Linked DNA regions of Tamandua tetradactyla. The protein of the gene in region 2 interacts with the protein of the main gene of each other region in a pairwise test. Links are inferred from orthologs where the notes say so. Each region holds a gene or a part of one and is shown on either strand. Other genes may lie near its edges.

Evidence for each region.
Region 1: the proteins of TRIM69 (region 2) and IYD interact in binary tests that used the Homo sapiens proteins (3 or more experiments, as listed by UniProt). The two-hybrid records come from large-scale screens. The link is inferred for Tamandua tetradactyla from reciprocal best matches to the Homo sapiens genes TRIM69 and IYD.
Region 3: the proteins of TRIM69 (region 2) and NEK8 interact in binary tests that used the Homo sapiens proteins (3 or more experiments, as listed by UniProt). The two-hybrid records come from large-scale screens. The link is inferred for Tamandua tetradactyla from reciprocal best matches to the Homo sapiens genes TRIM69 and NEK8.
Region 4: the proteins of TRIM69 (region 2) and FAM110A interact in binary tests that used the Homo sapiens proteins (3 or more experiments, as listed by UniProt). The two-hybrid records come from large-scale screens. The link is inferred for Tamandua tetradactyla from reciprocal best matches to the Homo sapiens genes TRIM69 and FAM110A.

What each region holds. Positions count from the first base shown.
Region 1 is NC_135328.1:141,842,810-141,850,262, forward strand, and holds the start of IYD (iodotyrosine deiodinase 1), read left to right. Parts: upstream 1-4,432; 5' UTR 4,433-4,524; coding exon 4,525-4,702; intron 4,703-7,453. UniProt on the Homo sapiens protein: Catalyzes the dehalogenation of halotyrosines such as 3-bromo-L-tyrosine, 3-chloro-L-tyrosine, 3-iodo-L-tyrosine and 3,5-diiodo-L-tyrosine.
Region 2 is NC_135340.1:59,105,894-59,112,929, reverse strand, and holds the start of TRIM69 (E3 ubiquitin-protein ligase TRIM69), read right to left. Parts: upstream 3,023-7,036; 5' UTR 2,428-3,022; exon of another isoform or gene 1,940-2,427; intron 1-1,939.
Region 3 is NC_135332.1:51,919,679-51,927,545, forward strand, and holds the start of NEK8 (serine/threonine-protein kinase Nek8), read left to right. Parts: upstream 1-4,863; 5' UTR 4,864-5,439; coding exon 5,440-5,525; exon of another isoform or gene 5,526-6,295; coding exon 6,296-6,442; exon of another isoform or gene 6,443-6,731; coding exon of another isoform or gene 6,732-6,778; exon of another isoform or gene 6,779-7,867. Other genes in the region: RPL23A (large ribosomal subunit protein uL23), read left to right, coding at 1-165, 1,185-1,361, 1,912-1,981, 2,176-2,190; TLCD1 (TLC domain-containing protein 1), read right to left, coding at 2,783-3,166, 3,566-3,648, 3,740-3,822, 4,158-4,351. UniProt on the Homo sapiens protein: Required for renal tubular integrity. May regulate local cytoskeletal structure in kidney tubule epithelial cells. May regulate ciliary biogenesis through targeting of proteins to the cilia.
Region 4 is NC_135327.1:22,723,188-22,730,085, reverse strand, and holds the start of FAM110A (protein FAM110A), read right to left. Parts: upstream 3,013-6,898; 5' UTR 2,754-3,012; intron 1-2,753.

The DNA.
Region 1 (7,453 bases), on a different chromosome or scaffold from region 2:
GGAAATGAAATGGTTAAATGGACACTGATTCTGAAGGAAATAATAAAAATAAATAAGTGGCATAAAAGTAAATCACCCTAAAAAAAAATACAAAAAGGCAAGTCACCCTCCACTGCGCCTGTCCTTAGCATTTGCTCCCCTCTCTTAACTGGACGAGGAAAAATGTGTTGGGAAAACAATGACCAGAAGTCATCCGTCTGGTCCCTCTGAACCCACACAAGCTCTGCTTCTATAGTAGACACCAGTCTGAAACCATGATATTATCAGAAGCTGTCATCATAAAGCTTGGTGGCGACTATGAAGCATTTTGCTGTCTTGGTTTTTGGATGAGGGGAAGCCCTGGCTGTGGAGACTGTTTTGGTTGTAAAGGTCCACAAAGACTCACTGGGTCCAGCTTGGGTGGGTACAGCAGGAATCCTTATGGCGTGGAAGGGGAATGATCTTGAGGACATCTAAGAACAGGAGCCCTGGAAAGGCCACTCTTAGCTGAGACAAGCCCTGCATGGCACATTCGGTATTAGAATGGGAGCTTGGGCGTCTTCCATTATTACCTTCTTTGGCTCCTTCCACTGTCTGGTCCTCTCATCTTTAGCTGGTAACAACTGCCAAATTCTTTTCTCTGTGCTGTCTCTATTTTATTTTTTTTAATTAAAAAAAATTTTTTTTAGGTTGCGTGGTCTAGGAATTGAATCCAGGACTCCTGCACGGAAGGTGAGCATTCTACTACTGAACATTTAACATTTCTTTTCTGCCGTCCTCCCATGGAAAGCCACAACCTCTCCCTCCCTTAAGCCGTTCCCCAACCAGGCTATCAGCTCCATGTTCTCAGGAGTTTCTCACCTACCACAGGCTCCCTCAGCTCCTCACATCTGCGCCCCTCATTATTCTTCTCACCCCAGTGTTGGGTGAGCTTCTTTTTCCCCCAAACATACCCTGGAGGACCTCTTTTTCATCCACAGCTTTAGTTATCACTCCTGTGCTATAGACTTCCAAATGTGTATGTGTGGTCTGACCTTTTCCTTTAAGCTCTAGAACTGTAGATCCTACTCCTTAGTTGACATTTCCATGTGGATGGCTGAAAGATGCCTCCCTCTGCTGTGTAAAGAGCTGGACCTGTGATTCCTCCCTCTCCCACTCCCAGCACCCCAAGAGCTGCTTCTCTACCATTGGCACCAATCCATCTTGAACTGCAAGCTGAAACACTAGACATCACCACTGACACTTATTTTAGTGTCTTTCTCACCCTCCATGTCAAATTCATCAGCAAGCTCTGTGGACTGAACCGTCCAAATATGTAGTGAGTTCATTGCTGTCTGCACTTTCACCATGAGCTAGGTCAGGCTGGCAATCATTTTCTACCTAAACTGAGATGGTAATTTTCCAACTGGTACTTCTGTTTTTGCCCTTACCTGATCCTTCTCTCTAATGCAGTGGTCTTTTCTAACCATTAGAGACATATTTCACGGGAATAAAATGCACAGGGCTCTGGGTACAGCTTGCCTGGCCTTGGGCATGTGTGCTGCTTCATTTTCCTCATTCAAGCGTTGTAGGTAATAATGGACTTTTAGTATGGAGCTGTTGGAAGGTATATAGGAACTGAGGACATAACATGCTCAGAAGAGAATCTGGAACCTCATGGTAAGCTCTTGATAATGCCAGCTGCTGTTGATCCATAGTCCCATCCCAATGTCCCATTCTTATTAGGGTAAAGACAAAATTATCCACACCCTACACAGAATGATATGATCTAGCACCCACCTTCCTTTTTGCTATCCCCAAAGACTGACCACCCAATCCATGGAGGTGCTGGCTCCTTCTAGGGATCAGGCTTTGCTTACACAATCACCCCTGCTTTCAGTGCTCCTTCTCCTTCTGCTTAAGTGACTCCTACCCAGAGTTCCGACGTGAGCTCCATCATTCCTTCCACTGGAAAACTTACAAGTAGGCTGAATCTTCCTCTCGCTGCTCTTTAACATTTCTTATGAAAGTGGGGATGTGACATGAATTTGAGACTTGATCTTGTTTGTGTCCTCTTTAACCTGTGGCCCTGTGAAGCAGGTACTGTGTCTGCTCTGCCCATTATTTTGCGCCTAGTATTGAAAGCAAATCCTCTCACATGGTTTCTCAAAAATATACACTGAATGAAGGAGGGAATGAATGATCATCTTGTCCTTCTTTCTCTGCCCTGAGCTAAGCAATCCAGGACAAGAGTCTTCTTTTCCCACTGTAGGTCACCAAATATGATGAAAAGCTACCATCCGGCATAGTTGTTCTTATAGTCCTTAGGTCCTAGGGTTCTCGATGGTCACAGAATCCCCAAAGATTCATTTTGAAGGGCTTGTGGTCTGAAAGTGGAGAGATTCAGGCCACACCTAATTAAGCCACTGTACCTCCTGGGTAATTGGTTCTCTATCCTGAGATGGAGGGTTTCCCACCCTGTCCGTCCCCCACTGGCCTGTCATCAATCCCATCCCTCCCATTTGCTTCAGGTTTGATTCCATTGCTGACACTGGCATGATTTGGGTTTTGTGGTTATGGGAGCAGAAGATTGCATTGATTTTTTGAGAGAAAGGAGACACTTGGACTGAGACTTGGCCAGACCTGGATTCTCATATCCAACAGCCCCTCCACTCTGCATCTCTCTCAGAGGCTGTGGCATTGATCCTCAGGGACCTTGCTTCTCTCTGTACATTTGTTCTGCTTCTCTCATGCTACTGGGTGGTGCATTTATTCTGTATATTTAGTGGAATGTAAAGACTAGCATGGCCATAGCATGGGCTGCTGCCTCTGTGAGGACAGGCTGTGCTGGGCTCCGTGTGGATGGGATCATGTGAAAGCAGACATGGCACGTTGATGCCTTTTCGGCAGGAGGGGAATCTCCTCATGAAATGCTGTGAACATGGCAAGCAGAGCTACCACATTTCAAGCTTCTCATACCACTTCTAGTTCTTCTAGAATAAACTTTGCCTTCAATTTTTTACACAGATCTTTGGAATTAGAACCAGTACAAGACACATTAAAAAATTAGCTGTCTATTAACTATTTTTAGAGTCATCAAAAATGACTATTAAAATATATTTTGATTTTTGAATAGGTAATAATTTCATAATGGTTAAAATTTTTAAAATTATGAAGTACTATACAATGAAAGTTCTATTTCTCTCATCCTTATTCCCCAACTACCTGGTTAGCATTTGTGATGGTTTGAAACTCTTGTGTACCCCAGAAAAGGCATGCTTTTTCAATCCATTCCTGTGGGGCAAGCCTACTGAGGGTGCGACCTTTTGGTTAGGTTATTTCAATTGAGATGTGACCCAGTCCATTCAAGGCGAGTCCTAATCTTTTACTGGAGCGCTTTATGAGAGGATAAAAGACAAGAAAAGGGAGAGAGCTCAGAGGGAAATGCACAGAGGAGCTGAGAGAGAATGCCGCTGGAATCAGAAACTGAAAGCAATGGAACCTGGGAGCAAAGGATCAGCAGATGCCAGCCATGTGCCTTCCCATGTGATAGAAAAACCCTGAATGCCAGCAGCCTTTCCACTTGATGCCTTAGTTTGAATATTTTCATAGGCTTAGAACTGTAAATTTGTAAATGAATAAACCCCATTGTAAAAGCCAGTCCAGTTTTGGTATATTGCATCCTGGCAGCTTTAGCAAACCAAAATACCACACCTCTCCAAAACAGGTAACCAAGTTTTATTTTCCTTTGAAATATGGACTCATAAGAAGTTACAAAGCTAGTACAAAGAAGTCCCAATACAGCCACTTAAAAATTTTTATAGTATATTAAATTGAAGGAATATTATTAATATACAACACACACTCATATAGTATTTCCATTCTGTTTTACTGAAATGGAATCACACTATGCATACTTTGTACCTTGCTAAAAAAGTAATATCTCTAGTTAGCAAGGTATTAAGTAGGTAATTAATCAAGCTGTCTTTTTAACTAGACACTTCGTGTCACTTTTCCTGGACCTAAGTTTTTTTCCTCTAATGCAAAACATGAGAATTTCTTTACTCCATATGTTGGCTCAAATTTCCAGGTTTCATTAAAATAATAATGATAATAATAAAAACTAGCCTTAGGGTTATGTTTCACAAGCATGCTGTTTTAAAATGCAGATTACCATGCCTCTTGACTGAAAATGTCTTTCCCCAGCTCTGAGTTGGTACCTGGAAATGCGTTCTTTACAAAACAAGTTCTCCAGGTTATACTGAGCTTCTGGCAAGTTGAAGACACAGCTCTCAGAGAAAAGCTACTGCCTAACACTATATTGATCGATAGGAAATGTTCAAAAGTGAACTGTACTCGGGAAGGATAAACCCACAGCACACACCCCACGGCTCTGTGATCTTTGCTCTTTTGCTAAGTCCTCACCGGGCTGGGAGGTTCTGCACTTCATCCCTTCCCCCTGGCACACCCCTCAGCCCTTCTTTCACCCCCGGAAGTTCCTGTTCTGGTCTCTGTTTAAACACCTGGGTGAGAAGTGCGTGCTCGCACCGGTTTGGACTCTGCACCATGCTGTGTCTGACCCCTATCCTGGTGGCAGTCATCTGCATCTTGGTGGGGTGGATCTTTAAAAATGCTGACAACAGCAGAGAGAGAAGGAAGGGAGAGCCTGGAGCCGGGGCCCAGTCCCGTCCCTGGGTGGACGAAGATTTAAAGGATGACACCAGTCTCCACCACCAGGGAGAAGGTAAAGACGCGCGGCGCTGTGTGGCTTCGGCATTCAGCATTTTTATCGGTGCAGGTTGATGGCCCGGCTTATGGGGAGAAAGATGCATGGGCAAGTCAGGCCCAACCTCACCTTGAATGGTGCAAAGGGATTCGTGTTTGACAAAGACAGACTGTTCCTCTCAGGTGGGCAGTTGGCATCTGCTGGCATCTGCTGGCACAAACCCACCTTGGTTCCAGGATTCTTATCGTAAAAGCTGTTCAAGGGTAGGCGTTTCTCCCTGGCTCCAGTCCTGGGGTGACTTTTTAAATCCTTCTGAAGATTCACACTGGGCTGGCAGAGGGTCGGGGTAAGAAGTTGTTTCTTAATTTTAAAAAATTGTTTTTATTAGGGCAGTTGTAGGTTTCCAGAAAAATCATGTAGAAAGTAGTTAGATTTCCCTTTACTCTCCTCCTCACATGCACAGATATCCCTATTATTAACATTTTGCATGTGAAGATTTCCCTATTTATTAGCATTTTGCATTAGTGTGTTTTTGTTACAATTGATGACATGATAGTATAATAATTCCTCTGTTAACTTTAGCCCACATTACAGTTTGCTTTTGTGTTGTACAGGTTTGAATGTTGGTCTTCCATCCTGTCACTTTGCTGAATTCATTTATTAGCCCTGGCGTCTTTGTTGTGGATTTTCCAGGATCCTCTGTGTATAGGATCATGCCATCTGCCAATAGGGAAATTTTTACTTCTTCATTTCCAATTTGGACGCCTTTTATTTCTTTCTCAAAGAGAAAGCCTCAGGTTGTCCTATTGGAACAAGTGAAATTCCAACACAAAAGTTCTCTAGTCAGTACCAGATTCATGGAAGTTTTAGGGGAGGTGGCAGCGGACTTTTCTACCTTGAGTGTCACTGGCCATCCAAAAGCTTTCATGCTAACTGAAATTTTAATTAAATGTCCCAGGTTGTCCATTTCAGCAAAGAAAGCCTTTTTTTAACTTACGTGGGTGTCACCTGTGCATAAAAATGTTCCCACAAGCTTGGGGAATGACAGATTGTTATATACCCATGGTAATAAGTAGCTGTCAGAACCATTTTTGAATCTAGTCAGGGGGTCAATGGCAATTCAGTAAGCACGCTTAACAAGCCAACTATCCACGTCAGCCTCTTGCTTCTGACAGTCAGCCAGTCAGGACGGATGCACTCCAAGGTCAGTGCCCCCTCGTGCCAACCCATCAACGACTGTCCCAGCCCTTACACTGCTCCTCCAAATAGGGTCAACCCATTCACACCTCTGAAAGCCCACTAGTTGCTGAGGTCCAGGCTTTCCCACCAAGAGCTCACCTATGTGGGTTAGCAGGAGCTACTACTGATAAATATTCAGGAATTGTCTGGGTCATGTGCTAAATCATCTGGAGTTTGAAATCAGGCCACAATGGAAGACTTTATACTACTGAAATGGACAAGTGTTCTAAATCTGGGATTTAAAAAATTTCCTCCCCGGGAGCGCTGGTTTATCAGCACAGCATTCCAAAATCTCTATATAAGGTCAGCATTTTGCTGCTCTGGGAGGGAATGCACTTTGCCAGCATTGTTTTTCTTTTTTGTACTAATAATTAATAGTAAGTGTGTCACCCTTGGGCACACCCACTGATTAATTTTTTTGACTAGCTAATTTAAAATGTTGGTTTGGCAGAACCTCTGTAAGATTGCAGGCTTCTGGGATGCAAGACAGGTACATTTAGATGAGGGAATGTTAGGAAAGGGGAAGGAGTTGAATGAAGTCATTGCCCTTGGGTTCAAGCCTGAGTGGGTCCCACTGGGGGAGACTTAAAATCAGCCTGGCGATACCCCAAAGAGATGAAGAGGCTCAGAAAACAAACTCTATCACCCTTACTCTATTGCTGCAGGATAGCATTGCTTGCTCTAGCCAATGTCTTTGCATTAGCCTCCCAGCCCCAACCCTACTGCAGATAGGAGTGGATGACTGATATCCCCAGTGGGATCAGTGCTTTAGAGTCCAAACTCAAGTGCCAGATAAATGAGTCCAGGCATGGGCTCACTCCAATAGAAGGGCATCGAAGCGCTGACCAGAGGTCTTCTTCCTAGAAGGTCACACCCACCCGCCTGCTCCCCTGGAAATGTAGTCCTGGCCTAAGCAGGGAGCAGAGTTATGCTGAGGTTGTAGAAAATGGGATGTCCTTCAGGCAGCTCCTCAGCCCTGAAGTTGCTTCTTCACCTTCAGAGTGTGTCTACTGGGATAGCTGCCTCACCCGCCTGCATGGACATGGCTCCTCAAGGGCCCTGACATGCTGAAGAGAGGAAGGAGGATGAGGTGTGCAAGTAGATCTTACTCATTCGTAATTTGAATCATTTGAGGCCCATTTGCAAAGATTTTGAAATCAAACCACCACCACAACAAAGTAACTTATTTAGAGAAACAGCTGGAAAAATACCTTCATGCTAAATCAGGCCACAAGACTTTATACTACAGATGTGGTTAGGAGTGTTTGACCGGTAAACCTGATTATGGAGCAATTTAGAGATTCTTTGGCATCACAGCAAAGAAAAAGAGTGAGTGTTCTTGGCATCAAGAGCAACCCCCGGTTCCCCCCCGCCCCCCGCCCCATCTACGGTAGAGGTAGGAGATGAAAGGTTTGCTACGGAGGCTGTGCTCCTTCCTCTGGGTAAGAGCCTTACTCCTTGAGGCACTCAGGGGCTCAGTGGCAGAAGCAAAGTGGTACATTTGCTCACTACCCTGCTTTGCCTGTCCCC
Region 2 (7,036 bases):
TGTCTTCTGTTGCAACAGGGATCATGCTGAATCTTTAAGAATCCTTCTCCGGCAACTCCCCTCAAGAGTCTTTAAAGGCTCCTTGCGCCTTTAGAAAATATCCAAACCCCATAACATAGCACCCTCAAGTACTCATAATATGGCCTTGATTTTCTTTTTTGAGTATGAGTTCTCACTTCTTCACACAACCATGTACAATAGTCATACCAACTTACTCATAGTAACGTGCCCTGTGGCAGCTCCCTTCAGCTTTTGTTCTTATATTCTATAAGGTCCTTGCTCTTGCCTAGATCTGTACCTTGACTGCCTACGATGTGTGAAGTGCCTCGTACTGTGTTTTGAACATAACAGGTGTCATTATTAATATTTTCTTGCTCAGATTCATAACAGAGACAATGTAAGGCATGCCTCCACTGAAACAAGCCCTTGATACCCCCTAGTGCTTATACTCCAAATTCCTGTCATATTTACCTCCCAGGGGAGCTGAGCTAGATGATGAAGTAACAAAAGTCAGTGTCCCCAAACTAATCTATGGTGATAGTATTTAGAACAGTGATTGCCTATGGGGGATGGGATTGACGGAAGAGGGCACAGGGAACTTTCTAGGGCAAGATATGTTCTCTATCTTGATTGGGATGTTAGTCACATCAATGTATATATTTGCTAAAACTCATCTAATTATACATTTAAGATCATTGTATGTGAATTCAACCTCAATTTTTTAAAAAGTAAGAATCCTCTTTGTCTTTTTCTTTTAAAACAAAGATCAAGAACACAAATTTCTACAGGAGCTTGGCAGGTAAGGGAAACGTGAAGTGGCTGGGTAAAATACGATAGGGAGTATTGAAGACTGAGGCAAACTGGAGAGCGTATGCTCTTTATCATGACCCCAAGGAATAATGCATGCAAAAGCAGAACCCAAAGAATTTAATAGGTACTTTACGTATTTCAATCATTAGCCAAATTTGTGACACACTATGCTTTGCCACAGAGCAATTTACAGTCTCCAAAGTAGGATGCACAAAACGATCTATTGAAATGTGGGATGAAAATATTGAGAACACTTTTCTAAATTTTAATTTTAATTTTCATGTTAGTTTTCTTACTTATTTTACTTTAGAACAGAAGAAGAGACCAACAGTAGGGTGTATACCACATTTATCTTATATATCCTGTGCCAAGTTAAGTAATTGGGGCCTAGGATATGGGCAACGTTCCAAAGAAGACGAGTAGACAGACAAGCAGGAATGGACACTTCACCATTGGCAGAACTGAATCTCTAAGGGGGGAAATCAACACTGCTACAACCATAGATAATCAAGAAAAGAACAAGCTTTTATTGACATCTCAATCTCAGGAAAAGAGAGCAGGGATCGCTCCCCTTCCAGTTCTAAAGTTCAGACTGAGTTGTGAGTGCTTTGTGACTCTGCAGAGGAAGTGGGGGCTAGTGGGGGGTCTTCCCAAAGCTCTGACCCACTCAGCTACTGAAGCAGCTGGGATGATGATGAGGTAATCTTTTTGTTCACAGAGAAGTATGCTGACCTGCTGCTTAACTGACCAGAGTGGCAAGCACACCTGTAAAGCCAGGGTGAGGGCAGCCCCTCTCTGGCTTGGCAAGTTGCAGAAAAGTACAGAACAATGACTCTAGAAATTTTGTGCCTGGGTATCTCCCGAGGTGGGCAAAGTCCCAGGAGAATTCCTACCCATATACCACCCCCTTCACCCTCGTAGTTAGAGAAGTAGTCAGAAAGGATTGACTTCCTTCCACTCCTACAGAATCAGAAAATCCAGAGAAACCCAGAGGCAGCAACCTGCCTAATCCATTAATTAGAGTATAGTTTCCATTAATCTAGCCAAGACACATTATAGTGGTTGCTTAATCAAGAATGAAATGTATATCTCTCTTGATTAAGAGTTCAAACTTGTATGGTAGCTCTGATCTGCAAAGTTGTCAGTCTCTTAGTTTCCTTCCGTCTACTTGCTCTATCATGTCTAGGGTCTTGTCCTCATTTACATAATCTAAAATGGCTACATGCAGCCAGCTAAAATTTTATTGCTATGAGAAATAAAGGGTAAACTGCTTTGAGGGGTAACTACCAGTCTCTGGTGTACTAAGACAAATGAAGTATGGCCCTGCAGCATGAAACCAAAGAAAATAAAAAGTAGCATCTCATAATACATGGGAATCAAAGGACATTTTTCTTTATTCCAGATGAAAATTTTTAAAGTTAGACTTTTTGAGCTCAGCGCATTGAAGGTCAAGACCCTATAATTCCTGCACAAAGACATGGAAAAATACCCAGCAGGGTATCTGTATATAGCAACACTGTTTGCATCATATATAGATGCAGAAGTGCTGGTGGCTGATTTTTACCAAATAAATTGGGCAAGTTTTAGTATATTTAAGGGAAATGTAGAGACACTTACTATAGAAGATGTGGTCACATTCTGTAGAATAGATGCATCAACTACTCTGTTCAATCTCCAAGTATCCATCCGTGCAAATTCGACATTGGATATAATCAAAGAGCAGGCGACATAAAATTCCTTCTTCCAGGAAATTGTGGTGGGCACTATTAGTCACATACGCATCTCTGTTCCTCATCAGCCATTCCATCACTGCTTACCACCCTGCTGCCAGTATGGCTTTGGAGTGGCCTTGTGGCTCTACAGATTCACGAGTGAGGTCGATCACTTCCTCTCCATCACTTCCCCTGAATTCTATCAGTTCTGCTTCCAAGACCATCTCAGGAGTTGTGCTTCCTTCCCCATCTTGCTTATGGGCTTGTCTGGAATTTACCATGCTACCACAGCATATTCTTGTAATCATTATGCTTTTTGGATCCAGCCTTCAGAGAAATAAGCGATCTGTGCCAAAGTTTAGAAACGAATGTTAAAGTTCTTAATGTCTCACCGATATGGGTTAGTTACTCTAAAAATTTTAAGTCCAGATTTTCCACTATCTTTGAACTCTGATTCTGATTCCTGTTCTATCTCCACCCCCACAACTGTTGTGATCCTACAAGAGTGGATCTTCTGGGGAGCCACTGATGAGACAACTCAATCTGAACTTTTCTCTGAAAAAGTAAGAGAAAAATTAAACTTTAGAAATATCTAAAATAAAATTGATAGTAGTATAGCAAAGTTGATATTTGTAATAACTTTTTACTTGATATTTTGAGAATGCACACAGTTTTGATAGTTAATCAAATGGTATTTAAGATACTGTTTAATATTTGGAATTCAAGAAACTCCGATATCTGTATTTATAGATTTTTTTTCATTCTTTGCTTTAATTTTAAATTGGTTTATGAAACGTATTGTACAAACAGGCTTTGCAATGATTACTTAGGTTTTCTTTAATATGCCTATGGATAAGCTAACTTAGACATCCATTTTAGGTGGTTAAGATTTCCATAAGTTGCCTGCCCAAGCAAAAAAAAAAAAGGAAGATTTCCATATGTTAATTGTAAAAATATTTGTATCTTCATATTTTCCTGACAGCAGGAAAATGCTTAGTAACATAAGTCATTACTATAGCAATGCAGATATTTAAAAGAACTTTCTACTTGATATTTTGAGAACATTCACAGTTTTGACAGCTGATCAAATGGTATCTAAGTTAGTGTTTAATACTTAGAATTTAAGAACTTTGCTATCTGAATATATAGATTTTTTTCCTTGTTGCCTTAATTTTAAATTGGTTTATGAAACTTACTATGCAAACACAGGCTTTACAATGATTATATGGCTACTTTATTTAAATATGTCTATGGTTAAGCTAAGATATCCATTGTTGGTGGTGCTAAGTGTATTGTTTGTCTTCTTAAATTAAAAAAAAACTAACAAAAAAGATTGATAGTAATATATATATAAAATATATAGTGTTTTATATATATATATGAAATGCATGCACAAAAATTTCTGATACTGGTACATTATAATAAAGTTATACCACTGTTATATACTATGGCTCTTGAAGCTGAGTGCCACTCCCCACTCCATTTTCTGATGGTACTGGGGAGAATGAGGAGGCCAAGGGGCACTTACCTCAAGAGAAACACCATTAAGTACCGAGGAAGGGTTGCTACTTCATCCAAGAGTCAGTATGAGGATTTTGAGGAAGTGCTTATTTTTTTTTATGAAAAGATATTTTATTACTATTTTACTATACAACATATTAGTAAGTACACCAGATTACATTTTCTCATATGGCAAATGAGCCAGAAGATAACATTTCTCTTTGATTCCTAATGAGAACCTGAAAATCATCTCTTTTGTGGGATTTGGGTTCCTTCTACATAGGTGATACTGTCCATGAGGATATCATCGGTGCTTGGTGGTAAAGAATATTTTGCTAAGTTGTTCTATCATGAGTCCTTGCTCAATATGTTCATCTTTTCTTCTACTCTGGTTCATGTGTTTCTTCGTTATTATGCACAGGATCTGACTGAAGGATAGGTTTTGGGTGCTCATATGGAATATCCACAGAAGAGTGATAGTATACCTTCGTCCTGCCATTGGATGTCAAAGCAAGGTCTGCTTTGCAATTATGATCATCTGGAAGAGAAGAGTACATAGATTTAGGAAAAATACAATATAAAGCTCTATTTTGGACTAGAAACAAATGTTTCAAGATAGTTCTGCTTGATATCACACATTTTATTGCTGCTACAACCAGGGTGAATCAAAATACTTTGGTTTGCTAAAGCTGCCAGAATGCAATATATCCGAATGGGTTGGCTTTTTCAATGGAGATTTATTAATTATTTATTACAAATGTATAGTTCTAAGGCCATGAAAATGTCCAAATAAAAACTTCATGGAGAAGATACCTCCTCTGAGGAAGGGCTGCTGACATCCGGGGTTCCTCTGTCATGTGGAAAAGCAAAAACAACGTTTGCTGGTCCATCTCTCCTGGGTTCTGGTTTCAAATGGCTCTCTCCAAAATGTCTCTGGGCATTTCTCTATCTATACTCTCATAAAAGCCTCCAGTACAGGATTAAGAGCCACCTTGAATGGGCTGGGTCACATCTCAGTTGAACCAAAAGGTCCCATCCACAATAGTTCTGCCTTTACAGAGACAGATTAAGAGAACGTGACCTTTTGCTGGGCTACATAATAGCTCCAGACCAGCACAGGTGATATAAAAAAAGATGTTTAAACAGAAATTGTCTTTAAAATCTGCTTTTAGGCATACCTATTTTAATGCTCACTATTCTGCTAACAGGTGGCATGGAGAGACACAAATCTATGTCTTTTGACTACAAACCTTCATAGATTATCACTGTGAACTGGCCATCTTGTCCCCAGTGCTTATTTTTTTATAAATGTAAAATTGGAGAGACCAACAAAGGTGTTTGTACATTTGAATTTCTAATAGCAAATAAGGAATGGACCATTTAGTCCATGCAGAGTTTTCATGTTGCCTAGCATTCTCTTTCTAATAAAGGCAACAATGGTGTTTTGAAAGTTTTATCCTAGATTCTGTTCTAGGAAGAGGTGGACATTTTCAAAGCCTTAGAGCTGTAAATTTGCAACTTAATAAGTTCCCCTTTTAAAAAGATGTTCCATTTCTGATATAATGCTTTCCAGCAGCTTTCAAACTAGAGAAAATTTTGGTACTGGAGAAGTGGGGTGCTGTTGTGGTTTGCAAATACCAAATATGTTGTAACGACTTTTTAAATGGATAAGGGGAAGATTTTGGAAGAATTGTAAGGAGCTTAATAGAGAAGGCCTGCAGTGCTTTGAAGATACTGTTGGTAGAAATGTGTACTCTAAAGATAACTCTGATAAGGCCTTAGGCAGAAATGAGGCATGTGTTATTGCAAACTGGAAGGAAGGTGACCCTTGTTTTAAAATGGCAAAGAATCTAGCAAAATTCACCACTGGTTTTAGATGGAAGGCAGAATTTAAAAGCCATGAACTTGGCTATTTAGCTGAAGAGATTTCCAAATTAAATGTGGAGAGTGCAGCCTGGTTTCTCCTTGCAGCTTATAGTGAAATGCAACAGGAAAGAGATAAGCTGAGAACTGAACTTTTGTGTATAAAAAAACAAAATTGATGGTCTGGAAAATTCTGAGCTTCCAGAAAGGGAGACTCCAGAGAATAGTGCCCCATGTGAAGATTTAACCAAATGTGGAACCAGTTAGCTATTTCAGAAAAGGCTAGGATTGGAGATGGAGTTACCCAGTAAGAATCTGTGGAAAGTCCTTTTGTCTGATGGGCACGATCCCAACCTATTGAATAGGAAACCAACAAGAATGTTGTGGGATCTGAATAAATGGAACCACTACCAGTCTGGATTAAAAGGAATAGAAAAGGGACAAATTGAAGGAAAAATAACTTCAGAGGCAGAACTATGGAAGCTAAGGTCTGAAGTCAAGAAACCAAGGGCCAGGAAAACAGATCCACCCAAGCACTTGGAGAGGGTGAGTTTTCCTGGAAGCAGAGGGTGGGCCTTCCAACTCACTGAAGTGGAAGAGTTGTGCTGCCTCAGGCCTTGGACAGGGTAGAGCACATTCCTTGGGGATTGGGAAAGCCTGACTGCCACCCCATTGTTTCGGAGGGGTTGAGCATGTGCCCCGGAGATGGCAGAGAGCTCAGGTGCTGCCCTGATGCTTGGAGAAGGTGGAGCTGAGAAAAAGATGGTCTCCCCAATGTCCCCCAAGGTTACATTTGGACAGAGCCTGGTGGCTACATAGGCCCTTGGAAAGGATGGGAATGCCACTTTCCAAAGCCCTGAGGATAAATGACTCTCAGACTTTGAAATCTAATGGCATTTGTCCTACAGATTTCCAGAACTGTTTGAGTCTTATGACCCCTGTGTTCTTTCCAATTTCTCCCTATGGAAATGGGAATATGTATCCTATGACTGTCCTTCCTTTGTATATTGGCAGCAGATAACTTGTTCTGAGTTTTGCAGGTCCAGAGCCAAAGGAGAATTTGCCTTAGAACACGCCTGTAGCTGACTTTGATGAGATTTGGTACCGTTTCTGATTTTGTATTGTATTTGTATTGTTACTGAAATGGTTTA
Region 3 (7,867 bases), on a different chromosome or scaffold from region 2:
CGAAGCCAAAGCAAAGGCTTTGAAAGCCAAGAAGGCAGTACTGAAAGGTGTTCACAGCCACAAAAAAAAGAAGATCCGCACTTCACCAACATTCCGCCGGCCCAAGACGCTGCGTCTGAGAAGACAACCCAAATATCCTCGGAAGAGCGCCCCCAGGAGAAACAAGTCAGTACTGCCCCTGTATAATATTGGTAGAAATTCTGTTTAAATCAACTCAGAGTCGCTCAGATTTTCTGTTCGCGTTAGTTACTGCTCATATGTAGTCAGGGCTTGAAAATCCGCTTTCTTGGGAATATCGAGTAGGACTTAGAAGTTTTCTATCTTGGTCTGGTGTTCAGTACAACAATACACAGAAAGCTTTTCATACGCTTCTCCCAAAATTTCACGGTGTGCTTAAGGAAAGGTTGGGACACTTCGGTGTTTTGGTGTTAAGTTACTGCTAATAACTGGCTTTGGGGATCAGAAATTAATTAGCCATGGTGGGGGTCACCAATGGGTTTCTTGCCACTCCCACTGCTTAAGGAAAGACAGCAGAATGGATTGTGTTGATGAAAGACTTTTTTTCCTCCTATTCGACCTAGAATTTAGAATGATAAATTGAGACCTGACTCTTAACTGCATAGTAGTGTCTGGGTGGGCAGAGCCTGGCTTGTCTGAATTTCAGGGGAAATGCTGTGTTTTAGGTTTACACAAGCCACCAAGTTTAAACTGAGCTGCAAATTAAAGTTGCTGTTAAAAATTGGTGGCCTTCGAGCATAGAGCCAGCGTTCAGCAACCAAATGGGGCAGAAAAAGTTGGTCTGGCTTCACAGAGGAGCACTAGCATTCTGTATAATCCTGGCCTGGGTTTCAAGATTCCATTGTCTAGCTTTGTGCTCTTGGGGAAGTTGCATAACCTCTTAAGTCCTTCCTGTGAAACTCTACTTTGACCTTTAGGTATGTTGAGGTCAAATAAGATAGTGAATATGAAAGTGTTTGGGACTCAAGATGATTCCTTAATTAAAGGATGAGAGCTCCAGGTCCCTAGGTTTTAGAGTGCAGATGATGACACCTGTTAGCGACCAAAGTCTGACAGAAATGATTGCTATCATTGTCTGATGCACTTGTGCTTTCCTGGCCTTTTGTTCCAAAACAGGGGCCCCTACTGGGCCCTGGCCAGTTGACCCCATCTTATCTCTTCCATAGGCTTGACCACTATGCCATCATCAAGTTCCCTCTGACCACTGAATCAGCCATGAAGAAGATTGAAGACAACAACACTCTTGTGTTCATTGTGGACGTCAAGGCCAACAAGCATCAGATCAAACAGGCTGTGAAGAAGCTTTATGATATTGACGTGGCCAAGGTCAACACTCTGATCAGGTGAGCGGAGCCTCATGGAGTGGGGAGGAGGTTGGGACCACAGCCAAGAGCCTAAATGACATGAAATTCCTTGATGCTGCTCTTGGAGTTATAAGTAGGGTGGATGGTTTGCAGACCTGATGAAATGAGCAGCTGTTGCTGTGATTGTACTCCTTTGTAAGGGGCATCAGTTGTCCTCTCCTTAGGAATTGATTTGTGAGGTTTTGGTGCTTGTTTTTTGTGTGTGTGAGTTTTGTTGTTGTGGTTGTTGTTCAGTTGTTTGTTTTGTCCCTACATCTGTTGGCATAGAGTAAGACAGTTTGTCAGATTACCCGAGTTTGAGTGCTAAAAGGTCCTGGATCCTTTGACCTTTCCCATAAAAAGGAATTGGGTTCATTTGTGGCTTAGTGGATTGTCTAGCCACAGTCTGTGCAAATGATGGAAAAATCACTATTTGGAAAAAAATGACATGAACAAAGGAACCACTGATGCACCAGAAGGATTCAGGGAGGGAGAGGAGGTTTGGGTGGGACAGTGAGGGCAGCAAAAACAGACTCCTTTTCCACCCCAGGCCTGATGGAGAGAAGAAGGCATATGTTCGGCTGGCTCCTGACTATGATGCTTTGGATGTTGCCAACAAAGTAAGCTTTGTGTTTTATAGATGCCTTAACCTCCACCCCAGGTATAAATGATGCATCTGTTAGCGACCAAAGCCTGACTTTAAATGATTAGTTTTAACTGACTGTCCTTGACACAACCCCTACCGTCATTTTGCTTTCTAACCATGACATTCCAACTTAATTTTCCAGTAACAAAGCTCCCTTTTCTTTTTCAGATTGGAATCATCTAACCTGAGTCCGGCTGGCAAATTCTAAATATATGTTTTTTGACCATATATGTGCTTCCTGTCTTTCTCAGTTTCTTGTTGGGTTGGGGAAAACCATAGCGTGGTACACATCTTAGATATAGGGCTTGGGGAAGACTCTGGTCTACTACCCTCTTAGAATACTGTTTCACCCCACCACACTCACTGTAACAAACCTGCCAGGAGTCACTTAGGTACCAGGGACGAGGGTTAGTCACGTGGCTTTAGCTACATCAATCATAGGGATAAGAACCCCTTGTGTGCATTAAACCAGTAGCTAGTTTGGGGTGGGGTGGGGATAATTTCAGCCTTCATTAGCATCCATTTCAGGGCAGTATGTGTTGGCTGGCTTTTGGGTAGCACCCGTCTTCACACACCCATCCAACCGGTTTGTCTGCTTCCCTCACCCCTTGCCCAAGAAAGGACAAGGACTTCAGAGGGAGTGCTTTCATTAGTTTTCTCAATAGTGTGGGTGCAGACTTTCCAAGTGGAGAGGCTGACCTAGAGAATGCCCCAGGTTTGGAGCAAGTCCAGTTTGTAAGATTGTTCTCCTTAGCTGTCCTGGGCCCTGTGGCTCTCATTCAGTCAAAAATTTGTCTTTATGTTGCTGGCTGGGGACACTCTTGGGGCAGAAGTCAGAGCGGAGGAGGCGGGAAAAGTAGATAAGAATCATCATGTCCAACATGAGTAGGATGCCCAGCAGAAAGGAGCCCAGGGTCCGCTGGCCCATGTAACGCAGGAAGAAATGGGTGAGGTAGGCCTGAGGAGCCAGGCGGAAGAGAAAGTACATGACCAAGTTGACATACTTGTTGATCTGGTAGAGGAGGAGGTGCTGGGCATTATTGATCTTCATCATCATGCGGAAGGTGAGGAAGATGTTGCTGACCTCCACCAGTAGTGTTAGGACACCTCCACCAACAAAGCGTCTCCAAAAAATTCCTGAGAAGAAGGCACCCATGGCCTACAGGACAAGGGAGGGAACAGGTTAAAGAGCCCAGGTGCCAAAACTTGCCTGGAAATTGGAATTAACCAAACATCAAATTGGGGGCTGGAAAATTCCTCCTTGATTATGTTTCATCCTGGAATAAAGTTTACTGTGGGTAAGGTGCTTATTTTCATTCATGATAGAATCTCCACTCCTGTCCTGGCTTGGGAGTTAATTAGGTGAGGCCATGGATTGCTGGCCTAAAACGCGGAATATGGGCACAAGAGCAGTGCCAGCCCTCAGTATTATAGCATGAGGGACAGAGGACAAGGGTGGGACTCGGCTCAAAAGATGATGGCCTACTCCCCAGGTTCAGAAAGGCTGTGACTCTTAAGTTGGCTATACCAGGTATATACCAGAGGCCCTGCTTCTCACCATGACGTGATGGACAAGGTATTCCCAAGAAGCTCGTGCCTGACGACTCACCACGATGTCTATTGTGTCGTGGATGAAATAGCCTAAGCAGAAGGATGGGGAAGGCATCATGAAAGGAGCCCGAGGAGAATTCTCCCTGTCCTCCCACCAAATTCTTTCCTGTGTAAGACTTACCTGCGGAGAAGCAAACGAGCAGATAGCCGGAAAGCGACCATGCCGTCTCAATCTCCACCAGCATCTCCGGAGTTTGCCATACACTGGAAAGGAGTAGGGAGGCTCCCATTTCAGTACTCAATTTCCTCTTTACCCTTGCCAGTCATTGGGGGAATAGCGACCAGTCTCTCGCTCCATTGACTGCCTGGGGAGCGAGGAGCCCCTAGGTGGAATCCTGGGTGCTTCGGGTTTCCCAGGTGAGATCCCCCTTCCCAAGGGCTGCGGTCTCTGCTGGTTGGATACAATTCCAAGCGGGGAATCAGGTGAGACGGCAGGGCCTCCGCCCACCAGTGAGTTATGGAGAGGTAATGCGGGAGCCAGTCCCAGCGCCCCGCACGAGTTTCCCGAGCCACCTTCACTCCCATAGTCGGTCACTCACCACAGCAGCGCCCAAACCCCTGACATAATGGAGTGGGCAAAAGAGACGAGCAGGTTGTGCCAGCGCCAGGTGCGCAGGGGGTCGGCGCGCACGTGCGCGGGTAGGGGCAGGCGACAGAGCGCGCGTCGGAGTGCCCGGAAGGTCAGCGTGGCGCCCAGGACCAGCAGCAGGGCGGGGTGCAGCAGTGGGGGCATGCTGGCCCTCCCGGCCCTCTGCCCTCTGCCCTCTAGGCGCCCTCCTCAAGCTTTTCTGGGAACGGGGCTCCCTCTCAGGCCGGTTCGCCCCGAACGCTTCTCCCGCCGCTGCCGGCCTTCCCGCCGGCCAACAGCCTCGCTCAGTTTCGCAAACCCCTCTAGGCCTCTTGGCTCCTCCCGGCCCCTCCCCGCGCAGCCATTTGCCCCCGCCCCCAGCCGCCCGAGCCCCCGCCTAGCCCTGGCCGCCTGCCTCCGCCCCTCCGGCGTCCCTGTAGAGCTAAGAACAAGAGACTATTTCCCCGGGGCCTCCTAGGCCGCGCCTGGCCCCTAGCGAACTTCGGGCAAGGAGGGGCTGTCCTGGAGGCGCTGGCGCCTCCCGACTGCCGATGGAGTCCCCTCCCGCCCTCGCTTGCTTGCTCTCATTAACCCGCGTCCCCACTTTCCCCGGAGCCACCGGCTTCCCCGCCCTGGGCGGAGACTCTGAAAATCTCCCCGCCCTCAACTCCTTCCTGGGCCGAGCTGGGCCGGGGTCCGTCACACACCCACATCTCCCTGGTCTGTAGGGAGGAATCGGAGCCTCGCCTCGGACAATGATCTCCCCCCAACCCCGTTCCTCTACTGGACCACTAACTTCTGTTCAGGTTAGAGAGGGACATGTTTACCTGACTCTACCGCTCGCTGCTTCGAGGAGGTGCTTACGAACTAACCCATCATCACCCTTCCAGCCCGCCCTTGGGCTCCTGGGGCCCGGTGGCTGTCCCAGCCTCCCTTAGGCAGTCCCAGCCCTCTTCTCCCGGCCCCCTGGAGACAGGACGGGGAAGACGGTCAATTTGCTCTGGCTGCTGGGGTGACCCTTCGCTCTTCAGGCCAGTGGCTTGGGGCAGTTGCGGTTTACGGCCACTAGGTGTCAGCCTGTCCTCACCGTGGCGCCGGATCCCCGCCCTCCTCGCGCGAGTTGCTTTTTGGGGGAGGAGCCGCTGACAGCCAGGGGTGAGGCAAAGAGAACGGAAGGAAGGAGAAAGGTGCTGTGAAAGGGAGGGTGAAGCCAGAAGCTTGAAGCGCCAGAGACCCAAGGGCCAAGCCGTTTGATGTTTGCTCTACTCCCCGTGGTTCCAAGGTTACACATTAACCCCTCTGGGGCTCCTGGGTCAACCAAGGCCTGCTCTGTTTCTAGGTGAGAGCACGAATGTTTCGGGTGACGGCTTTCCTTCATTGCGCTGCCCTTTGCTAACAGGACAGTTTTATCCACCAGCCAAGCAGTCGGGGGCCCTCATAGGTCCTTCCAGTAGTCATTCCACTTGGGCGGGTTCGGGTATCCATTTGAGGGGCTGGAGCAGAAGGTAAACACCCCTTTCCTCAACATTACTCATCCAATCAGAAGTAGGGAATCTACCCCCTAGCTAATCAACAGCCTCCTTCCCCTGGTTCCTGAGCTTTTGTGGCGCTCTCGCAGAGCGGGAGACGCCAGAGAGACTTAGATCTCAACGGACTGTCGGTCAAGACCCTAAACGGTCATACTAACCAGCCCCCTACCCTACCTCTGACCAGAAGCCTCGAACCCATCAGTCCAAACGGGGGTCTTTCTTCCTCTCCCCGACGCGTTCAGATAGGCGTCCTCCTCCCTCCCATCTTCCACGGGAACGTTTTCTCTAGCTGAGCGCCCAGGGTAGATCACCCTTGCTGCAGCGTGACGTGTATGGAAGGGGAAGTTAAAGGGTGCTGACGAGCGCGGTGCTCACTAATCCGGACGGACCAGAGACGGTATCACGTCCTTTCCAGGTGAATCAACCTGCACAACTTGGGGTTTCCCCGGTCCCTCCCTTGGAAAACACGAAACCAACTCAGCTCCCTGCTCCACAGACAGAACGCTGACGCTCTCGTTCAGTTTCGATTCAGTTTGTCATTTCCGTGCCGATGAGAATCTGTTCTCTCCTTCTCAAACAGCATCACTCTTGGACACAGAGAGGTCGATCCTTGCTTCCTACCCCTGCACACCTCCCCAGTCGGAGGGGCAGCTTTGGGGGCGAGGCACCCCTCCTGTCTAATCCGGCTTTGCAAGGGCCGGATCCTGCCACGTGTAACAACTAGCAGGTACCGTGCTGGTCACTGAGAGGGGGTGCGCCAAACAGCGGCATATCGTCTCATTTCCTGAGTCCTGCGAGGGGCGGGGCCATGGGGAAAAAACGGTCGCCGGCTTCGGTGTCGGGAGTTTATTGGAAACCCGCACACCAGGACTGCGGAGCTGAACCAAAAGCTGAGCTCGGTTTGCTCCGCGCTACAAACCCCGAGCAGTGCGGGGGCGGGGCTTACAGAGGGCGGGCTTGCGCATGCGCCGTGTCTGGAGGGAGGGGGTTCCGGAAGTGCGACTCTGAGAAATAAGATGGAGAAGTACGAACGCATCCGAGTGGTGGGGAGAGGTGCCTTCGGGTGAGCCAGGGTTCGGGGTGAGGAAAGTGCTCCGGGAGGAAGCAAGTGAGTCCCAGCTTTGGCTGCGAAGCCGCGACTCTTGAGCTCCCGCTCTGGGAAACCCCGCCTAGGCTTCCGGTCGGGGTTCTGGCGGGGAGACTCCTCCGCCCCCAAGGAGGCCACGCCCCCCACAAACAGGCCCCCACCCCCTCAGAGTTCTTTGTTTACTGACTCATTCATTCAGCAAATAGAAAGCGCCAACTCAATATTTGTCAACTGCTGGGCGCTCGGTACATGGTTGTGACCAAAAGAGGCCTGGTATATTCCCTCTCGCAGCCTACAGGCTATAGGAAAACTATATAATAAACAAGACAAATTATTAAAGCAGTTATGAAGTTACAGCATTTATGACAGATATTATCAGGCTGGGAGGATAGAGGACAACACCGAGAATACTTATTTAGGTGGCCAAGGAAGATTGTTTTGAGGGGTAAGATTTAAGCCAAGGTTTGAGGAATGAAGATAGTGGTCTGATAGTGAAGGTCTTTTCAGGGGAAGGAAACAGTATATGGGAAGGTCCTGTGGGAAAGAATTCAGAGTATGCAAAGATCTGAGTAAAAGACCAGGGTAGTTGGACTGAAGTGTATGTGATGAAGAATGGTATAAAATATGGCTGTCCTGGTGGACTGGGACCAGAATTCTGGCATTGTAGGCTGAGGTAAAGGCACTGAATTTATTTGCAGTGAAAGCAGGAAGAGGTTTAAAGCAGAGGAATGGTCTGATCTGAGTTTCAAAAATGTCACTCTGGTTGCTGTGTGGAAATGAGATTTGAGGGTAACAGAGTAAGAGAGACCATTTTGGAGGCAAGAACAATAATTTAGACAAGATATGATGATGATTTGGCCAAGGATTGTAGTAGAGGGTATGGAGAGAACGGATGGACTCACAATATTTTGGAGGTAGAAATCCAAAATTTGGAGGATTTGCTAACAGGTTGGTGTGAGATAGAGGAAAGATTCTGGGCTGATTATGACTTTGTTAAATGGTGGTGCCATTTACTGAGATGGAAGAAATGTTTTGGGAGGACTGGAATCAAGAATTTTATTTTTT
Region 4 (6,898 bases), on a different chromosome or scaffold from region 2:
TGTAAAGCACATCGTGAGTGCTCAAGAGGAATTACTGATTTTGATCCCTTGTTAAGGGGGTGGGAGCTGTGTTTTCTGATGTTTACAGTACCGTGGCATTCCGCACACTCCCCTCTTCCTTCCATCTGCTTCTCTCTTTCCCTCCAGTGGTAGCTCAGTTGGGACTTGACGGGAGTCGGGGAGGCCCCACCTGCCCCAGAGGGGATCATGAAGGCTCCAGGCAGCAGGGAGGGGGCCCCGGCCGGTGGGGCAGCCTCAGCTCCATTTCAGCCCAGCTGTTCAGGTCAGAGACATGCAGCCTGGCACCCTCCAGGGCCAAGCCAGTGCTGTGCTATTTGTGGAGTCTCTCCGGACACTCACGCCTGGGCCTGCCCAGGATCCGGCCCTTCTCCTCAGGAAGGGAGAGGTGAGCAGGCCATAGGAGAGGTGCTTGACTCACCTGCTGCCCACCTGTACCACATGGCCCCTCTAGGCCTCAGTTTGCACCTCTGAGAACGGGGACAAGGGGCTTTCAGTGGGGACTGAGCCTCAGGGCTCACCTTCATGACTCTGTACGTCAGCCTAGAGGTCAGAAGAAACTTCTGACCTACAGTCACGGAGCAAGTCAGTGACAGATCATGGGTAAGGCAGTGGTTTTCATGATCAAATATATAAATTCATAGTGTTGGGTAATAGATTCACATGGCTCAAAATTTTAAATGAGTAACCAAAGTCCCTCCCTGTCCCCTCCCTACAGGCACACTATGACCAGATAGCTATGTCCTCCCAGGATGCATATTCTTTCTCTTTTTTTTACACAAATGGCAACATGCTGTGTGTGCTGTTTCCACCCTTGCTCTTTTTACTCAATAATATGTATTGTTCTGGGTGCCACAACAGCACAGAAAGAACGTCCTTGGCCCTGTTCACAGCTGCACGGTATTATTTCCTACTCCTACTGATGGGCGCTTAGTGAGCGTCCAGTCTCTGCCCACTACAAACCACACCGCAGCATCACTGCAGCGACATCATTTTTTGCCTGGAAGAAATGCCTAGTGGGGAGACAGCTGGGTGAGGAGCACGCACTTGTAACCATGTCAGAGACGGCGGGACTGTGCTTGGTGGAGGCCATGTGAGTTGACCTCCCAACAGCATAACACACAGACAGTCTTCAATAAATGTTAGCTTCAGTTGTTGTGAAGGTCATTACACTCCTGGAATAACGTCCCAGCTGGCTGACTTTTCACTTTCTAAGGATGCTGCAGATGGGAGGGGATGAAATGGAGGAGGCAGGGGTATCACAAGGCAGTGAGAGTAACATGGACAGCCTGTTGTCAAGCACAGAGTAGCTGCTACCCATTGTCATCAACAGAGATGCCAGCTGCCCTTCGTATTAAACCACTGCCACCTTTTCATACCATTTTCCAGATGAAGGACTGAGGTCCAGCCCAGAGGCACCCAGCCTGGCTCAGGGGTTTTCTCGCCCAGCACCTCCATCCTAGAAACATTTTTTTAGGGCCCACCCCTAAAGCCCGGAAGAATTCAGGTGTTGATACTCTCCCCACTGTACAGATGGGGAAACTGAGACCCAGAGAGGGCCACAGATGTGCCTGAAGTCACACAGCAAATCAGCAGCAGAAGCACACGGGAACTCAGATCTCTACCTCCTGGTGTGTCTGTGTCTCCTCCAATCCCTTGGCCTCATATGGCCCAAATGCCAGGGATGGAGACTCTGGCCTGCCCTGGTGACATACTCTGCTTCTCCCCAGCCACAGCCCCATCCCACCCCAGGCTTGACCCACCCCCACACCTTTACTCCTGATGCTCCTTCTGCCAGGAATGTTCCCACCCAATTGGAGCTTCCCCAACCTTCAGCTCTCAGAGTCCAAATGGCCCTTTCCCAGAGCCCTCCCCAGATTAGCTCAGGGGCACTGTAAGCACTCTCAGAGCCCTCACCCCCTTCCCACTGCAGCACTGAAATTTGACATTTACATGTGTGATTTTATGCAGTAAGTGTGTGACCATAAAGACAGGATAGGATCACTATTTCTGATTTCTCCTTTTACTTTGGACTTCAGTGTGGCTTGGCATAGCACTGTTCCTGCTCCTCCCCTGTGAAGGGATCCAAGACTGTCAGATCCTATGATTCTGAATGTCTAGTATTCTAAGATTGAAGCCTGATGCACTGGGAGCCCACTCCAGATTTGCCAAATCTCACTGTGGGACTTTGCAGCAAGGCCCTTAACTTCTCAGAACCTCCGTCTTTCCATCTGCAAAAGGAGACCAACGATAGCAACCTGAGGCATATAGGGGTCCCTGGAAAGTAGGGCCTGCTCCCAACTCCACATGGGGGTGTGGTCTAACCGTCTATACTGACTTCCCCTGCCCCCAACCTGGGACAGAGTCACAAGAGGCCAGTAACGATTCCGGGGGCCAGAGCATCTGCGGCTCACCCAACATATGGCCCGGAAATGCCAGTCCCGCTTGCTCCCCCCTCCCTCCCCTACCCCTGAGCAGCGGCTGGAATTAGAACCCTGGGTCTATATTAGGGGCTGCGAGGTGGAGCAGGAAGACCTGAATTGAATTCACTGCAAGACATCGCCCGACCAGGCCACTGGCCTCTTTGAGCCGCCGGGTCCTTATTTGTGAAATCGGTACCACGCCTCCCCGCAGGTACGACACGGTGAGGACGCACACAACAGGCGATCGGTGAACAGTGTCGCCCCCTCGCACCCGAGCCCCACGCTCGCGCCCCGGACCTCCCGCGCCCTCACCTGGAACCCGCGTCAGGTGAGTCCGGGCTCCTCCAGCGCGGGTCTTGGGAAGGCTGACAGCTCGGACCCGGGTTGGTAGTGGCCGCTCCCACCGCGGGCCGGGAAGATCCAGCCCCTCGTGGGGACCCGCAGGGGCCTCTACAGAGCTGCTCTCCGCACCTGAGAAGGGCGAAGGATTCTGATCTTCCAAAGGCCCCCACCGAAGCGAAGGTTCCCTGGGGCGCGGAGGAAGGGGAAGTGAGAGCACCGCTGTCCACCCTCCCCCACCCGCCGGAATGGTTCGCCCCGGACATCCTGATTGGTTCCTCACTTCCGTTCGAACGCCGCGCCGCGCAGGTTGCCAGGCGACAGCTTAGCGTCGGTCTAAAGATTGACGCCCCGCAGCTCCGCACGCCTGACGCTTCTCTCCCCGCCCGCCGCTCGTTTTTTCCGGTGGCTGCTTTAGTCAGGGAGCCTGGTTCTTTCCTTTCGTTCTCCCTCTGCCTCTCCCAAATGGGGATTTCCTCCGGGTCCCCAGCTGGAAGAAGCACCAGTGAGCGGCTCTGGACTGGTTTCTGATGCCAGCTTTGCAGCTAAGTAGCTAAATAGCTTGGGCAAGCCCCTTCCCCTCTCTATTGCCCCGACTACACAATGAATGGGTTAGTTTTTTAAATGTGTATATCCTGCAGCCCCCAAATTTATCCTAAGGAAATGATCGAAGACGTGACCAAGGAGTGATACAGCCCCGTGTTATTCACCATAGCAAAGTAATGGAAACAAATACCCAGTGAAAGAGGATTTGTTATATAAGGTCTTCAAATGGAATAATAACAATAAGAGATAACTATTGAACTTTTTACATGCCAGGCAGCTTTATATGACATAACTGTCCGTGCTCACTATAATCCACGTAAGATAGGTGAGCATTTAACTACACCCATTTTCTGATGAGGTATATTATGCAATCATTTCAAAATACTTTAAGGACGGTGTGACGGTGGCTCAGTAGCAGAATTCTTGCCTGCCATGCCAGAGACCCGGGTTCGATTTCCGGTGCCTGCCCATGCAAGGAAAAAAAAATGATGTAGTTAAAAGATATTTAAAGATAAGGGGGAGATGCTAAGGGTGTATTAAATGGGGGGAGAAAGCATGTTTTCAAAGCAACTTTTACTGCATATAAATATATGGTAAATGCATAACGAAGCAGCCCAGGTGCATATGTATAATTATTTATAATTACAGCGATTAATTTTTTCTCTGTGCTTTTATGGATCTTCCATATTTCCAACAATTGAATTTGTCAAAAAAAAAAAAGACATTTTAAAGGGGTTAGAATAAATTAATTCCAAGGGCCCTTCAAAATGAGGAAATTTTGTAACAGTGATTCACTGGGTATAGGATTTTGCTCAATTTGGAGCCAGCTTCTGTTTCGTTCTAATTGGTATCTTTCATTTATTCATTGCTCAGCCAATGATGCAGCACTTAACTGTGTCCATAACCTGGGCAGCCACTGAATGGATGGGCACTTGACAATATGTCAGTAGCTAAAAATGATTTGTGTACCCTGGCACAAGCACCAACCAAATCAGCACAGATAGCATCATAAACAGGGAGTCTGGCTCTACCTGTGAGCACCAGATAACATGAAACCTGGCACTAACTATGCTCTTTGCTAGATTATGCTCGAGGCTTTACACAGGTTATCTCATCTGACTTCAATACAATCTGAGTAGAAACATCCTATTATTTCCTTTTTTTTTTTTTTTTTGATGAATAAACTAAGACTTGCCTGATCCAGAACCAGAGCTCTGAACCATTCTTTTGTTCCCCTGTAAATGTGCATAACTATTTGGCATTAGCTTCAATAGCAGTGTTGAGAGAAGGCAAAGAGGGTTCTGTGATCCTGTAAAACAAAAGTGAAATCTGACCAGGGGCAGATCTGGGCTTTCCACAGCTTATACTTACTGTGCCGGTTTGAAACTATTGTGTACCCCAGAAAAGCCGTGTTCTTTAGTCCTGACTCAGTATTGCTGGGTGAGATCTTTTTGATTAAGTTGTTTCCATGGAGATGTGACCTATCCAATTGTGGCTAGGACTCGTTTGATTGGGTGGTTTCCATGGAGCTATGTCTCCACCTGTTCAATTGCTTACTGGAGTCCTTTAAGAGGGAGCCATTTTGGAAAAAACTTCAGAACTGACACAGAGGAGGGACCTTTGGAGATGCAAAAGGAAAATAACCCCAGGGAAAGCTTTCCAAATGAGAAGCCAGGAGAGAAAGCCAGCAGACTTCTCCATGTGCCTTCCCAGCTGGCAGAAAAACCCCAAACCTCATAGATCCTCTGTTGAGTCAAGGTATCTTTCTCTGGTTACTTCAGTTTGGACATTTGTTATGGCCTTAGAACTATAAGCTTGTGACTTAATAAATTCCCTTTTTAAAAGCAGTTCCCTTTCTGGTATATTGCATTTCCAGCAGCATTAACAAACCAATACGCTTATACACTTGAAGTGGACGTCTTTAAAAAAAAGAGCACACAACTTCAAATATAAAATTAAGCACAAAAGTGAATAAGATAAAAAACACAACAAATAACAAAGTATTAAAAGTTGACAAATTCCACACAAAAAAAACCCAGAAAAAAATGGCATTATTGTTATTAATTAATTACCTCTTTGACATACCTCTAAAATTCTTCCCACATATTAGCTTCTGGCTCCATGTGTACATTTCAAACCTCTCCTCTATTCCCCATATACTTCTAATGTCGGGTACTGTAAGCCCATTCTTGTCAATATGACCTCTGACTTTGTACCTTCATGTCGCAACACCAGTTGAGCAAGCATAGTGTCTGTGGTAGGGTAGGGATATTCCTGAAAGCCATTCTTATATCAGGTCAGTTAGTAATAATTTATTCACAAAAGTGACTGGAAACAGCATAAATATATCTACTAAACCCAAGCAAATGTGTCCTCAACTCAAAGTCCCCTTAGCCACATCCCCAATGTCATCCAACCTACCCCCAACATTACCTACGGCAAAGAGAAGTTGGAGTACAAAGAGATGGTGGTTTGAGCAGAGTGCAGCTAAAATATCTTACCTTGGCAAATTTTGCAAAAGCATATGACCTTGTGAACACATTGCTAGGGTGCCTCCCAGAGCTCAGCGTCCCCATCATTAAAATGGGAATGACAGCCATGGTGTCCTGGTCAGATTCTTCTCTGAGATGTACACTTTTAATCAGGGGTTGGGAGATCATTGAGATGCCTTGATGAAAGGCCCTGCTGACATCTTCAATGTTTCCCTTTGTCCTGCAAACCCTCGGGCTTAAAATAAACAAAACTAAACAAAAACTCAAAAGCTCATTCCCAAATGAAGAAGTGAGGCAAACAAGAGTACAACAAACTTCCCCGGGACCCCAGATTATGCCACTGAAGAGAGATGATATGGGTGCAGTCAGATTTGAGAACTTTGGACATCTGCATCTGCCAGCAGCATATTGGCAATGTCCCCGATCATCAAGGACCTGTTAAGCACCCAGTGCCAATTTGGAGCGATTGACAGTGTCCCAGGCCTTGTCCACCCCCAAGGTGGGGGTATAAGAATAAGAAGGTGGACAAGCTGTCATGAGCTGCGCCCGGAGCTGGGCAGCCCTGATGGCCTCACCCTGGCCCAGCACGATTGAACAGCAATAACCTCTTGCCCTGTTGACAGGCCCGTGGCTCGTTCACTGTGGGCTTCGTCTCCTCCAGAGCCCTGAGCTTGGTAGATTTTTCTCCACTCAGCTCAAAATCCAGATGATATCAGCCTCAGATGTCAGCTCTGTGTCTCCATCAGCCTCAGATGTCAGCTCTGTGTCTCCATTAGCCTCAGATGTCAGCTCTGTGTCTCCATTAGCCTCAGATGTCAGCTCTGTGTCTCCTGGGTGCCCATGGCTGTGTTTTATTTTGTTTCTTTTAATCTAAAGGGTGTTATTGCCATACAAATTTGCTTGCATCTAACTTCTCTGGAAGTGGAGGTTACTGGGGTGGCTGGGACACAGGGGAGGGAGGAAAGCTTTTTAGAAAATAGTGTTTATGCCTTTGGATTTTGTATCTTGTAAATATATTATCTATTAAAAAAAAACATATGTGTGGAAAGCAGTTTGGTGGTTCCTCAAAAAGTTAAACAT